Linked DNA regions of Astyanax mexicanus. The protein of the gene in region 1 interacts with the protein of each later gene in a pairwise test. Links are inferred from orthologs where the notes say so. Each region holds a gene or a part of one and is shown in the gene's direction. Other genes may lie near its edges.

Evidence for each region.
Region 2: the proteins of tsc22d1 (region 1) and aplp1 interact in a two-hybrid assay, tested with the Homo sapiens proteins (2 studies listed by BioGRID and IntAct). The link is inferred for Astyanax mexicanus from reciprocal best matches to the Homo sapiens genes TSC22D1 and APLP1.

Annotation. Positions count from the first base shown.
Region 1 is NC_064418.1:28,488,125-28,496,494, reverse strand, and holds the start of tsc22d1 (TSC22 domain family protein 1), read left to right. Parts: upstream 1-5,337; 5' UTR 5,338-6,210; coding exon 6,211-8,370. UniProt on the Homo sapiens protein: Transcriptional repressor. Acts on the C-type natriuretic peptide (CNP) promoter. Acts to promote CASP3-mediated apoptosis.
Region 2 is NC_064425.1:43,602,290-43,610,357, reverse strand, and holds the start of aplp1 (amyloid beta precursor like protein 1), read left to right. Parts: upstream 1-4,950; 5' UTR 4,951-5,130; coding exon 5,131-5,196; intron 5,197-8,068. Other genes in the region: st14 (suppressor of tumorigenicity 14 protein homolog), read right to left, coding at 1-17. UniProt on the Homo sapiens protein: May play a role in postsynaptic function. The C-terminal gamma-secretase processed fragment, ALID1, activates transcription activation through APBB1 (Fe65) binding. Couples to JIP signal transduction through C-terminal binding.

The DNA of each region.
Region 1 (8,370 bases):
ATAGAAGTACACTGCTATTAAATGAGCCCCTAGGTGGCGCCATTTGACACCATCTAATAACAAAGCCTGTCTGTCATCTGTTCTGAACATAACACAACCCAGACTGTGTTTAAAACCACAAGCTATACTATACTATACTACACAAAATGAGAGTAACCTGTATTATGCCATACATAATGTGCTAATAAAACTGCACCTTATGTCTCCTAATGCACATATTATTTTGACATACAGCAACTGTTAATACACAAAGGTATATTTAAGGATATTGGGAAGCGATTTAAAACACATATTTAATCATGCAGTGGAAACACTGCGATACTGAACTTATCTACTGACTTCTTTTGTGTTCCATCCTTACGCAACAACAAGAACACATTCAGTTGACAGGCCTGATACAAGACATGGTACATAAAGAAAGGCTTTCAGAGGCAGAGCCCATCCTTCATCACATCTTCATATGAAATCAAATCTCTGAAACAAGCACCTTAACGAAGATCAAGGTTATAACAATGACAGAGTGCTGAAATACTGTGAGCACAGTCCTTGCTGTCTTATTCAAGGACACCAAAATGAAATCAGCTGCATTGAAATTAACTACAACTGCTTACTCCACACTGACACTCATGTATTTCAGATAAAGCATAAGATAGACCTGGTTTCCATTACATAAAGTCTAAGAAAGACACACAGATAGATTGAAGCTTTATTATCACCCTCTTCAAATTTGTTTCACCAATAATTTGCACCAAAATTCCTCTCACAAAATGGCAAACACTTGCAAGACCACAACATCCGATCTGTGACTCTGCAACAGGTCCAAACAAAGTCTTAGAAATTAATGGTAAAGAAAAAAACTCAGTGACCTTTACACAGTGACAAAGCTGCAGTGACAAATAGAACCAGGTTAACATTCCCACAGGAGGACCTTAGATCTATGAGTTTCATTTATGAGAGACAATATAGCATGTGGCACAATAGAAACAAATGGAACAAGTGAAAAAAACAATCTCTCTTTCACCTTCTAGCAAAAACGTATTACAAGCGCCTTGGTGAAGGTTGTGAGATCATTTATTAGCTTTAAATCAGCTGTCACAACAAAAGCCAGCAGCAAACTCTTGTGAAAATAAATCAATCTTAGTTTGATAGATAGATATAACTGTCAAATAAAAAAAGCACTTTTGAAAGAAAGTTTAAAGTGGTTTATGTGTATAAAAACAATAATGGCTTAAGTATTAAGCCTTGAGGTACAACACTTGACAGATGTTTAAGTCAGTGTACTACTGGAAGAGAATTATCTATGGCATCAATAAAGTGTTTCAAATAATCTAAATCTTTATTCTTAATACTGGTTTCTGTAGTAAACACCATGAATGATAAATCAGGAACAGCAACAACAACAAATCTCAACATTAATTATATTTAGAGTCACATAAGCAATTCCTTCATAGAGAATACACATTAGTACTATTGTTATATATGTGCATTTAAAATAGCTTTTTAGAAATAACTACTGCAAACGGTCCCAATAGTGCATTTATGTTAGGATGCGTTTGTTATTTGATTAGCTAACGGACTCAAAAAAATTGTAGTTTATCGAAAGGGTTAAATGTGTTCTAGGCATGGCACACCACAATTCTGATGTATTATTAGTGAAATGTAGCTCTCTTTGTAGCGTTACGATGTTACCTTTACAGGAGTAATACTAAAATTATAAGGGTGTAAAATGTATCAAGCATTTTCTTACAATTTTTTTAATATGTTGGATATCTAAAGCTTATTTATTCATACATACATTAATGACTGAATCAACTGTAAAGGGCAAGGACAGGAAAAATATGACCAATCATAATCACAGGTACCATTTCATATCGCAGGCATTTGCACACAATAATTTACCAAATGAGCGGATGACTGGACTGGTCTGACAACACTATGAGTATCAGAAATTCCGACTTAAAGTTGGCTCACAAGTGGACACAATGCCCCAACTACAGGCTTGACATCTGTATTCAGAGACTTTAGGCTTTGCTTTGCTGCTCCTCTCTCTCCTGTAGGCTTTTGTTGTTTCAGGAATTTCACCTCGCTTCAGGACAACTGTGTCAATGCAGCAGCTTCATCTGCAGGCTTCACATATTTCAAAACCCATAAACATCTTTGAACATGTTTAAATGCTCTCATGACAGCAGCAGAGAAAAGCAATGAAAGCACAGCGTTTTGTTGTTCTGCTTTCAACTGAAGCCTTGGATTACATGCAAACAGTGACTCAACAGTGGGCCCTATTCTTTTATCTAATCATAAAGATATCATTTTAATAAATGTTTACAAACTAAAGCAGACAGCAGTGTTTAAATTGACCATAATTGTTCAGGAGGACAATAGCTCTCTGTGTTTTTTGTTGTGGAGTGCCAGTGTGATTTAAAGCTGCTGACAGCACCAGACGCTTACATTGCAATCAGCTCTCGCTGGCTCTCTCCCTCCGACATTTGTATGGATGGGTACAAGCCTGTCTGCCTGGGCTGAATATTGCCTGCCAGTGACAAAGGGCACACATTCATTTCGGAAGGGCATCTTATATCGTTTCCCAACAGTTATTGTTCCGGATTACAATCATATCAACCTCACTTTCATTCAGGTTTGTTGACGAGTCCAAAGAGAAGGGATATCTATCAACTGTAGGTCACATCAGCTTTTTGTCCAATGAAGTACCGCATGCAGTTATTTTTGCATTACAGGGGTACACATTTGTATTTCATTGAATAAGTCCTGGATCTAAAAGCTTCTGAACCTCTGACAAAGCAGCTGTTTTAATGAGACACTGTTATATGCCTAAAATCTGAATTTAGTCTCTGAAAAGAAGGTCATTCAGGTAAGTATGTGCATACAATGAATATATGTTAACATGTTATCTCAAATTAGTACTTAGTAGTACCTCACCTCATATGACATAAAAATTACCAAATTGATTTCCCCACTAAAAAATATGTTCTTTCATTATTGGCTATCTATTACACTACTAGAATCAATTATCAAAAGCACTACAAACAACTCAACTAACAACAGACTAAACTATGCTACCCCTACCTCAACTTTTGTGCTTTTTGTTTTACTAGCAATTACACACTACACACCACATCTGACAAAAAAGAACTCTAGAAAAGTTCCAGCTAACTACAGACCTATTTTACACATTAACATCAGAGAGACAGTATGGAACAGGTCTTGTAAATGTCCAAAGAATGTACTGTTATAAAGTCCCAACCCCTTTAAGCAATGTTTGAATATTTCTTAATCCATAAGAGTGTAAAGGTGCCAGTGCAATCCCACCAAAGCTATGTATTTTTCTAAGTTTCATAATGAAAAAGGAATATGTGGAATACATTCATAAATACATTTGAAAATGGACACAACATTTATGTTTTTGTTAATATTCTGCAACTATTTAAAATAAATGTCATAGTATAAACTATATTATACAATAATATAATAATATTAAATCATTTTAAATTAGTTTTCATATATATATATGTGTTTATCATATATATAACCATATGTTTATCATGTTGCGCAGCCCCTTCCCCTTAAGTCATATTTTAAAACCCTTAACACATTAAACTACTGAGCCTAGAACTTTAGCTCCTACTCTAAACAGAGAGGACCAACCATCAGTGTGTGCAATGGCTGTGCAGTGAACACATGTGTTTGGTTGTTCTCTTCTGTCTGTGGAAAAATCTGGCACCTCTTTCAATGTAGCTAGTTGTTTTGTGAAAACAGGACACATTTCTGGACCATGTTAGTTAGCCACCAAGCTTGTTTCCCCCCATACAGTCTGTTTACACTTTGTTAAGCTGCTGACCCAGACAGAAGTCAACAAACTATCCTAGGTGGGTCTATTCAAGCTAAATAGCTAGCTAGCTATGCCATATAGCCCTGATAATGTATAACAGATAACTCAAAGTACCACCTTCAAGTCATCCACAGGAACATACACATGCAAACTAGGGGTGTATGATTTGGACTAATAATGCAATGTGTAATAAATATGTTGGATATCCTGAAGTTAATTTGATGTGAAACACAACAAATTAATGCTACAAAGTCCAATAAAAATGCTGTAAAATGAATTTCATTCTCATGACTTTTCATTTGGAGAAAAGTATGCTCATTTTAGAGTATACTCATATAATGTTTTTACTCAACAGTGACAACATGTTATTGTCTCCAATTAAACCAGGCAGATTCTTAAGACCCAGATATTTGGACATCCCCTGGTACCCACATGCATTTGCTTAAATATTTTTTTCAATCATCCATAATGTCAAATGTGAGCCATAATGAGTTTAAAACTGAGCTTGGTCTGCGAGCTAGCTTAACTGATTATTTAATTAGCAAGATACAGCTCTGGAAAAAAATAAGAGACCACTTACAAATTAGACACTTCTTTGATTTTACCAAATTGAAAACCTCTGGAATATAATCAAGAGGAAGATGGATGATCACAAGCCATCAAACCAAACTGAACTGCTTGAATTTTATCAGTTTTATCCAAAAGCAGTGTGCAAGAATGGTGGAGCAGAACATGCCAAGATGCAGGAAAACTGTAATTAAAATCAGGGTTATTCCAGCAACTATTGATTTCTGAAGTTTTTATGAAAACTTTATGAATATGAACTTGTTTTCTTTTCATTATTTAAGGTCTGAAAGCTCTGTTTCTTTTTTTTTTGTTGTTATTTTAGCCATTTATCGTTTTCCGCAAATAAATGCTCTAAATGACAATATTTTTATTTGGAATTTGGGGGAAATGTTGTCCGTAGTTTATAGAATAAAACAGCAATATTTATTTTACTGACACATATGCATATGAATATATACAAAATCAAAGAAACTTAAGTGGGCTTTTCAGAGCTGTATCTTTCTATCCAACTTAGCTATCTAGCTAGCATCACCCGGGCCAAAAGGACATAAGCGACATGAGGACAACGCCCACTGACAACCTCAGGGGTCCAGTGGAGATAAAGCCCCCCTCCTCCGGTTCTCTCACGTAGTAAGCTAAAGCTTTCTCTCTTTCTCCGCTGCTGGGGTGTCTCACAACCCCTCTGAAACACTTAAAAGCAGAAGTATTTTATATTATATTATATTAGACACTTAGAGCCATAGAGACAGCGGTTACAGTACGGTCAAGTCTTTTTTCAGCTGATAAATAACTAGCTAGCAAGCTATTTTGCAGATCTCTCCAACAGACCACCCCGCTCTCACCCTCTCCTGACTCTTCCCTTGTTTCTATGCTCATTTTTTTTCTAGGCTCACCCCTCCCTCCTCTTTCCTCCCTCCGCCTTTCCCTCAGACTGGCTTTATGTCTGGCTGTTGGCGGCGTAAACAGACATGCGCTGTCGCCATGTTATCAGCAGCTTCTCCTCCCCCTTTCGGTCTCGTCACAGGCAGATAGCTGGCTAGCAATAGCACAGGCTACATTACAAGGAGACAGAGAGAGAGCTGAAGAGAGACAGAGAGCTGTTGGGAAAGAAGATACTAGCTTACTATTTAGCTACTGGTGCAGCTAGCTAGCTAACACTGGATTATAACAAAGAGGACGGGGACATGGAATAAACACGGACTCCGGTAACGGTACTCGTTTTGGATACAGCCTGCCAGCTTGACAACGTCGGTGGATTGTATGGTTTTACGCCTGCTGTAACGCCGGATTCAAAATGCGAATCACAATCTAGTAGCTGTAACTGTACTACATGCACTTGTAGCCAGCCACCGCTGTTGGATATTGAAAACGTTAGGTTAGCTAACTCAGCTGTGTTCAGTTTGTTTGATAATAAATTTCTGTATTTGCTAGCTGTTTGGATAATATGAACTGTTAGTTAGCTAACTAAATTTGGTCATATCTGACAACGTTCTGGATCTGAAACGTCTTCGACAGTTAAATAGCTAAGATAAGCTAGTTATGTTAGCTTGCTAACTAACTGAGTGTAAACCAGTGTTTCTAAGCTGAGAGCACTAACGCTAGCTAGCATTAAACGACGACTGTTTTTAACTTAGCTAACGTTAGCTAGCTAAGCTAGCCATAAGCTAGCATTCAGTTTAGCCAGGTTAGCTAGCTAGTTATCTAGCGCGTAGCCTGGCCGGGACATTGTTTAAATACCTTGAACAAAAGTGGAATTATCGACTCCTGGCTGTTTTTGGAAAGGGGCCATTAGTTTTATGTGGAAACTACTTGGGCGAGGTGAAATTCCTACTGAAAAAGACCTTGTCAACACGGCAGTTCTTGTAAGCTGTATTTACAACTCTGCCGGAGACCACCCCCTAGAAATGCATCACCCCGACCCAGCAGGAGACTCGACGAGCGCCCGAAAAATGGCGCAACCGGCGACTTTTGCCCGACGGGCTGCCGGTAACACCGCTAGTGCTTCTCCCTCCGCGTTGACATCTTCGGGAAGTGCCAGCCTTAGCAACAACCTGATGCCGGCAGACGATTACAAGCCCTCCGCGCTAATCCAGCCGCTGGCCTCAGCCGCGGCCACGCTCGGCTCCCAGCTCCCTCCTCAAAGCCTCAGCATCCACCCCCAGCCCACGCTGCTGCCCCAGAACCTGCCCGTGGCCCCGGGGGCACAGATTAAAAAGAAAAGTGGCTTTCAGATCACCAGCGTCACCCCTGCCCAGATCTCCGTCAGCACAAACAACAGCATAACTGAGGACACTGAAAGTTGTGATGATCTGGATGAGTCCCACACAGAGGACCTCTCCTCTTCTGAGATCCTGGATGTGTCCTTGTCACGGACCAATGACACCGGTGGACCTGAGAGGAGCTCATCTGAAGAAACCCTCAACAACTTTCACGAGGCAGAAACCCCGGGGGCTGTATCTCCAAATCAGCCACCTATTCTGTCCCAGACGCACCACGGCGGCACACACACTATGGTCAATGGTGCTGTTAACCACCACCATCATCATCATCATCAAAATAATAATCATCATCATGTTCAGCAGCAGCAACAGCAGCACCACCACCACAATGCGGGGCACCCCCAGCCCCACCACCATCAGTTTCACCCTACGCATTCTGGAAATACTCATTCCACTTCTTCTGCAGGATCAGGCGCTACTCAAGCTGCTGGCATCCCACTCGGTAGTGTGGTGACCTCCACCATCACAACAAGCCCTGAATCTGTACCAATCATAGGCCAGAAAATGCCTTCGAATGTGGGTGGAATTCTGGAAAACGCCTCTGTTGCCACCACCAATGTCATTAGTCAGCCCTTGGTTGCTGGTGCACCAGGAACATCTACTGGCATAGTCACTGCGGCATCAGGTGCTACGATAAGTATTAAGCGTTTACCAAGCAATGCAAGTAATGTTAATATATTAAACTCCAATGTGCCTGCTTTGGGTGGCATAAGTACAAACAGTAGCAGTGTAGTTTTTTCCTCTGGCTTGAATAATACCAACAACCAAAACGTAAACCTAATGCAGCAGCAGAGTGGTGTAGTAAGTAATGTCATCACAATGACAACTGGCACCACTGCCACTGCTGTTACTGGGTCAACAAGTGGTAGTCATGTGGGGACAGCTGACGCTACCCAGCCTTCAAATGCTATCCTTGGCTCTAACACTCATTCTCAGCAGGCACAAATGCCTCCTCCTGCTACTACCAGCTCACGCTTCAGAGTGGTCAAATTGGACTCTAGTTCCGAGCCGTTTAAGAAAGGCCGATGGACATGCACAGAGTTTTATGACAAAGAGGCTCCAGGTTCTGGGTCCTCTGAAAATGCACCTAGCACCCGAACAGTAGAGAGCATCCGCCAGTTTGTACCTGATAACGTGTTGGGCTCAGAAAGAGACAGTGTGAGCTCTGTCAGCAGCTCAGTCAGCACTCTAAGTCACTACTCTGAGAGTGTGAGCAGTGGTGATATCGGAGGCTCCTCAGCTGTGCAGCAGATCTTTCCACAGCCACCCACTACTGCTAACATTTCCAAACCTCAGATGCCTCGCCAGGACATGGTGCATCCCCATCTAAAGGCTGGTGCAACCACCCCACTGCCAGCCTGCACTCAGCAGCAACAAAATGCGGTAAATATGGTAGGCTTGCAGACGGCCACTGGGCATCCATCACCGGCCGTGGCCCCACAGCAGATGACATATGCCCAAGCAGCACAGCTAACTCCAGCTCAGGGCCTCTCAGGAGTCACCCCACAGCAGATGGCCTACCCGCCTGCACAGCAGCCAGCGGCACCAGCCCAGGTAGCCCCAGCACACGTCAACCCTTTAAGCCAAGGGGGCAGCCTGCCACCTGACTTCACTCAGCAGCAGCCGCCTCAGGAGATCATCCAGGCTGCAGCTCCGGGATCAGCGCAAGCCCTTCCC
Region 2 (8,068 bases), on another chromosome or scaffold:
TAAGCAGCAGAGCTCATGGTGTCCGCGCTGAGTTTAACTCTCCTAAACTCGGCTTCAGCTTCAGCTCCAGACCCGGAACACAGCAGCGGAACCCGTCCGGGTTTACTGAGCCGAACCACCCAGCAGAACCTCCACAGAAGCTCCACAGAACCTGCAGCTCGACTCACTGCGAGAAGAGTCGATTCACTCGAGTCACTGCAGCGAATCACTTCCTCACTGCTAGCAGCGTCACGCGCACAGGTAGAAAGAGAGAGAGAGAGAGAGAGAGAGAGAGAGAGAGAGAGAGAGAGAGAGAGAGAGAGAGAGAGAGAGAGAGAGACAGAGAGACAGAGAGAGAGAGAGAGAGAGAGAGAGAGTGAATAAGCGCACGTCAGGATGCTCTGCTTAGTGATGGGTCTAATGACCCTGAAACCTCGACACATGCGCCGAGCTGTCAAGGCGAAACCCCGTGTCGGTGCGCGTATCAAGTTAAGGAAAACCACGTGACCGATACACTTCCTGTATCGTTTGGTAGCGATGGGTCTGACGACACTGGAACCTCAGCGCATGCACCGAGCAAACAAGGCGATCCCCTGTGTCAGACCGCGTATCCACAGTGGAAGAACACCAGTCAAAAGTTTGGACACACCTTCATATTCACAAATTCAGATTTTTTTTTTTTTTCTTAAATTATTTTAAAATTTTCTGCATTGTCGATTAATACCACAATCATCCAAACTATGAAAAAAAAAAGAAAAATCAGAATATATCTTTAAATATTTTAAGAACTTTGAAATTATCGTATGCACCTTATTTTTCGGACTTTAATCTACAGTGCTCCTTATGTATAAATTCTACCAGTCAGGTATTAAGGAGCAGTAAAACCACTCTGCTGAAGTGCAGAGTTTTCAGTGAAGTTTCTCCAGCACTAAGGCTGGGAGCAGCAGCATTAGCATTAGCATAAGCCGCTAATCACAACGCTAGCTCTTTAGACTGTAGTCTGCATGTTTGCCGTGTTAAAACAAGCTAATATGTGGTACGAACCACTAGCTGATAGCACCCTGGGTTACCAGAACACTCAGGGTTTCTCAGTGTAGCACTGTATGGCGGCATTTACTGCCGCTAACCAATGCTAACTGCGGTGTAAAACATTAGAATTCTAAGCTTACTATAAATAAATGGAAGCATTTACTCACCAAAATAAAGTTTTCAATAAAGAAATCTGTGTAGATTACTGTGCAACAGCCTTGTTTCTTACTAGTGGTACCGTAAAATACGGTATCCTTAGGTGCAATTGCAAGAACCATCAAAAAACGCTATGATGGAACTGGCTCTCATCAGGGCTGCCAGTACTGTACCAGTGCTGTGCAAATATTCTGAGCATTAATGTTAATCAGTGTATTGTTGCCCTATAGAACTCTATAGTAAGTTATAGTAACCCTATCTCTGAGTGTAATTTAAATCAGCAGCACACTAAATACTGTGATGGAAATTAAAAATCCTAATTCTATATATTACTGGTGTTTTCTTTTTGTTCCAGATTAATACATTTGACTGATGTGTTTAAACTTGCTAGCTAGTTTAACCTCCTTTTTTTTCCAAAAAAAAAAAAACGAATAAACTCTATATCAAAATCTATAGAATAGAAGATCATCTCATTTGTTTGATCATGTTTTGTATGATTTAGCAGAAATACAGTATAATCAGAAATAGGACCTGTACAGAAACAGCAGTTTATTACAGGTTCTGGGTTTTACTGGGTTATACTGGGTCTACCAGGCCCAGATTACGTCAGCAGGAGAGTCCTTTCTCATAAATGAATAAATGAATATCAGATTACAGTATTATATAAAATTATATCATAATTCCATCTTTAGTTGACCCACATTTTTACCTGCCTGTACTGCCCCCTAGTGTCTCACAGCCAGCATTACTAATCCGCACTAAACTGCAGTACAGATTTACACTGAGCCCTGCTGCACAACCATCATCATCATCATCATCTTCATTACTCTTATTATCATCATCATCATCATCATCATCATCATCATTACTCTTATTATCATCATCATCATCATCATCATCATCATCATTACTCTTATCATCATCATCATCATCATCATCATCATCATCATTACTCTTATTATCATCATCATCATCATCATCATCATCATTACTCTTATTATCATCATCATCATCATCATCATCATCATCATTACTCTTATCATCATCATCATCATCATCATCATCATCTTCATTACTCTTATCATCATCTTCATCATCATCATCTTCATTACTCTTATCATCATCTTCATCATCATCATCATCATCATCATCTTCATTACTCTTATCATCATCATCATCATCATCTTCATTACTCTTATCATCATCTTCATCATCATCATCATCACCATCATTATCTTCATCATCATCATCATCATCCTCATCATCATCATTACTCTTATTATCATCATCATCATCATCATTACTCTTATCATCATCATCATCATCATCATCATCATTACTCTTATCATCATCATCATCATCATCATCATTACTCTTATCATCATCATCATCATCATCATCATCATTACTCTTATCATCATCATCATCATCATCATCATCATCATCATCTCCATTACTCTTATCATCATCATCATCATCATCATCATCATCATCATCATCATCATCATCATTACTCTTATCATCATCATCATCATCATCATCATCATCATCATCTTCATTACTCTTATCACCATCTTCATCATTATCATCATTATTCTTATCATCATCTTCATCATCCTCATTATCATCATCATTAGTCTTATTATCATCATCCTCATCATCATTACTCGTATCATCATCATCACCATCATCATCTTCATCATCATCATCCCTATAGTAATTTAAAAGTTAAATTCTCAAAAAATGTAATTAAATAAAATCATATAATATAATAATAGTTATATAATATTATATGATTATATTATAATCATACAATAGTCATCATCATCATCATCTTCTTCTTCATCATCCTCATTATCATTATTATCATTAGTTAATATATAAGTTAAATTCTCAAATTTTATATAAATATAATAATCTAAAAATAATTATCGTACTTTGGGATAATACAGTAAAAGTTGTTTATTAATCCTGACTGGTAATCCTAGAATAATGAATAATTGTGATTAATAAATGAGTGTGATTAATAAATGAGTGTGATTAATAAATGAGTGTGATTAATGAATGACTCTTGCAGTGTGTTTTGAGTGAGGTCAGGTCAGTGCTGTTTGAATATGGTTTGTATTACAGAGTTCAGTTCAGTGTTTTATACAGTATATAATGCTGCTCTGTTTAAACGATGATCAGTACCCTGACTGTTTTGTGTTATACACCTTATTGTCCACTGGGTGGCGCACTGAGGTAATACATGGCTCTGCACCTCTCTGCGCAGGCGCTGTGCATTCCCTACCCGTATTCCGACAAGGCCCACCCGCCTGCGCTGTGATTGGCTTGCAGTGTGCCGCGGCCTGCACTGTGATTGGCTGGAACTTCATAGAGTAATAATAATGATGTTTTAAACATTTCCTTTGTATTAAAATTCACACAGTCATTTAGTGTTTTGAATAATGAGGTGATCTAGATTATGAAGGAACACATAAGGAATTATGTAGTAACTTAAAATTACTGTTAAACAAACTAAAATACTCTGGTAACTCTGATGAACTTATCCTGTACAACAGAGGAAGCTCTTGCTCTTCCTTTCCTGAGGCGGTCCTGATAAGAGCCAGTTTCATCATAACATTTTTTATAGTCTTTGCAGTGACTGCACTTTTAAAGTTCTTAAAATGTTTCGGATTGACTGACCTTCATTTCTTAAAGTCATTTTTTACTTTTCTTTATTTAGTTGAGTAGTTCTTGCTTCTCATAATCTGGATTCGAACATTACTCAAATATTCACTATTCACTGTATACCTGTAACTCTACCTCTTCACTACTTTACTTTAACTGATGCTCTCAAACACTTTATTAAGAGACAAGAAATTCAAGTAATTAACTCTTGATGAGTTCAGCACAGCTGTTAACTGAAAGCCTGAAATTCCAGGTGCTACTTTGAAGAATGTAAAATATAAAACATATTCTGGTTTGTTTAACACTTTTTGTTAACTAAATAGTTCCATATGTTTTTAATTAGTAAATATTATTTTCCATCCATAGATGGGTTGCCAGATTGACACACAGTAACCAGCAACAACAATCTTACTATGCAAGCTGATCAGTGAATGTATATGTTTGCAATGTTTTTATTGGTTGCACATTTTAAAACAACTCATGCTGATATTATATAACATATATTAAGTTTCTTCTCAATATAGGATAGAACTTCAATTTTAAAACATTTAATTTATTTAAGAATAAGAAATCAGGAACATATCATACATATACATATATATGTACAGCTCTGGGGAAAAAAAAGGAAGATGGATGATCACAAGCCATCAAACCAAACTGAAGTAAAGCAGCATAAAGGTATCCAAAAGCAGTGTGTAAGACTGGTGGAGGAGAACATGATGCCAAGATGCATGAAAAAAACTGTGATTAAAAATCAGGGTTGTTTTCTTTGCAATATTTGAGGTCTGAAAGCTCTGCATTTGTTTTTGTTATTTTAGCCATTTCTCATTCAATATATTTATTTGGAATTTGGGAGAAATGCTGTCTGTAGTTTATAGAATAAAACAACAATATTCATTTTACTCAAACATAAACCTATAAATAGCAAAATCAGAGAAACTGATTCAGAAACTGACAATGATGGGAGAAGAATTGAGCTGGAGGGTGTGGCCTGACTGAAAACGGGTGGGAAAAGAAAAGGAACGAGGCGTGCTGAGCGAGAGAGAGAGAGAGAGAGAGAGAGAGAGAGGGAGAGAGAGAGAGAGAGAGAGAGAGAGAGAGAGAGAGAGAGAGAGCTTGGAGGCAGGCACCGAGCAGACAGACACGAAGCAGCAGCAGCAGCAGCAGCTCAGATTAATGCGCAGCAGATCCTCCAGCACAGCTTCAGCTTCAGCTCCAGCACTCCACTAAACACCAGAGAGAACAGGAGGAAGATCAGGAGGAAGAGACAGACAGACAGACAGACAGACAGACAGGATGGGACATAAAGACGCCTTCATATTACTGACTCTACTGTCCTGCTGCGCGTGGAGAGATGCTGAGGTAAGATAACAGGGTGGATCTTCAGTAAATGAGGGGCTGCAGGGGGTTTAATCAGCAGCTGCAGTCCGAGGAGGATGGAAAATCTGCGTGTGTGTGCGTGTGTGTGTGTGTGTGTGTGTGTGTGTGTGTGTGTGTGTGTGTGATGGATTGGAAAAAGGGTAAACACCATCATTGTGTCCAGTGAGGGCAGTGAGAGGATGGACATGATTAGAGAGGCAGTGAAAAATAAAGAGAGAGAGAGATAGAGCGATGGAAAAAGAGAAGGATGAGAGATTAATAGAGTGGGAAAAAAAGAAAGACAATCTAGAGAGAGACAATGAGAGAGAAATATAATTAGGCCTTCACAGGTATATATATATATATATATATATATATATATAGAGAGAGAGAGAGAGACATTTAGAGGTAATGGGGGAGGGAGAGAGACATATGGACATACACATGCATTTATAGAGAGAGAGAGAGAGATACATTTGGGGAGACAGAGAGAGATATAGGGACATACAGTGACATTTACAGAAAGAGAGAGAGAGAGAGAGAGAGAGAGAGAGAGACATTTACAAAGGGAGAGAGACATGGGGACACACAGAGACATTTACGGAGAGAGGTATAGATACATATGGAGAGGGAGGGGGTAGGAAGAGAGACATAGGGACATACAGAGACATTTACAGACAGAGAGATACAGATATATTTAGACAGGGAGAGGGGTAGGGAGAGACGTGACACATAGAGACCTAGGGACATACAGAGTAATTTAAAAAGAAATGAAAGAGAGAGAGAGATTGGCATACAGTGACATTTAAAGAGAGGAAGATAAAGAGATACAGCGACATTTAGAAAGAGAGAGGGGAAGAGAGAGAGACAGGGACATACAGAGACATTTGGAGAGATAGAGACAGAGAGAGCTATAGAGACATTTAGAGAAAGATGGGAGAGAGAGAGAGATTGACATACAGTGATATTTAGATAGAGGGACGTAGGGAGAGAGACCCATAACTCTATATTGGACATATAGAGTTATTTATCGAGAGAGACAGGGACATACAGAGACATTGGGGGGGTATATGGACATGCATCTATAAGAGAGAACGAGAGACATTTAAAGATCTATAATATATACATACAAAGAGCAGAAGCGAGATAAAGAGACAAATATGGACATACTATATAGAGGGTATATATGTGTGTATATATATATACATAGAGACATTAAGAAAGAGAGAGAGACAGGTAGGGAGAGAGGCATAGAAACATACCCAGACATTAAGAAAGAGACAGACAGAGAGAGAGAGAGACAGTCTGATAGAGAGAGAGAGAGAGAGAGAGAGAGAGACATAAGGACATACAGAGACATTAAAAAAGATAGATAGAGACAATCTAATGAATTTTATAGGGCGGGGCATTATGGTCTGGTTTCTGCAGAATAAAATTAGTATATTTTTATTATGAATTAAGCAGAGATGTTTTATAATTGGAGATCAGAGCTGTATGTGTTTTATATGATGGCTGGTGTGTGTTTGTGTACGCAGTGTGTGTGTGTGTGTGTGTTTGTGGTGTGTGTGTTGGTGCTGATCTGCACTGTGGCCTGTAGGGCAGGTTTATGGCCTTTGTGTGTGTGTGTGTGTGTGTGTGTGTGTGTGTGCGCTGGAGCTGCAGCTCTTTAAAAAAACACGCAGTGTGTCCGTGTCCCACAGTAATCCCTCGTCCTCGCCACGTAAAAAGCGTGGGCTGAGGTTTCAGCTCTCCTCTTTACTGCATGCTGGAGTGTGTGTGTGTGTGTGTGTGTGTGTGTGTGTGTGTGTGTGCGGTTTGCAGTGTGTGTGGAGCGATGACTGTGGCGTTTGTTATTGCACCAACGATGGATGCTCTGCAGCGATGCTGACAAAGCCTGTAGCACCCAGAGGGCCAGGTTTCTTCTTCTTCCACACACACATACACACACACACACACACACACACAGGCTGAGTGTGGCTACATTGGGTTTTCTACAATGCAGAGGCCAGAATGATGAAGCAAAACAGGGGGGACCTGATAATAGAGGTGGAATTATGGCGTGATGCTGTAAAATATTCAGATTTTAGAGGTTACACAATAATTTTGCTCTTTAAAGGCTTTGATATGTAAAAAAAGCAGCTTAATAATTGATAAAATGCTGAAAATAAGATGTTTCTGGTGGATTTACATGAATTTTGTGGTGAATTCAAGTATTTGCATCACCGAACACTAATAATTCAGTTTGAATATGGTCACATCAATGTGTTTTTAAAGGGAAAAACTAAATTTACATGCTTTAATAGAAAACTATCATATTTTTCAGACTACAAATTACACCAGGCTATAAGGCACAATTTAAGCAACACTATTTAGGATGCCTGCATTGAAGTGAGCAATGGTGTCGCCATGTTTCTCTTCTAATAAGGAAGCTGAGGGATGCGCCTAAATCAACAAAACTGTAATTTTTTAAAAGAACAAATTACTTTCAAAGTCAAACGAGTGCTGGATGTTTTTTTCTCCTGAAAACTGTTTATTTGGGGAGCAAAGCTCATCCTTTTATTACTGTAAATAGCTTGGATTTCCAATATTTTGTCTAAAAATGAGTTTTCAGTGAAGTTTCTCCAGCACTAAGGCTGGGTGCAGCAGCAATAGCATTAGCATTAGCTGCTAACCGCAGTGCTAAACTGAGGAACCCTGAGTTTAGAGAGGGAGATGGGTAAAGAGAGAGAGACATAGGGACATACAGAGACATTTAGAGAGAGAGAGAGAGAGATACATTTGCAAAGGGAGAGAGACATAGGGACATACAGAGACATTTACAGACAGAGAGATACAGATATATTTAGAGAGGGAGATGGGTAGGGAGAGAGACATA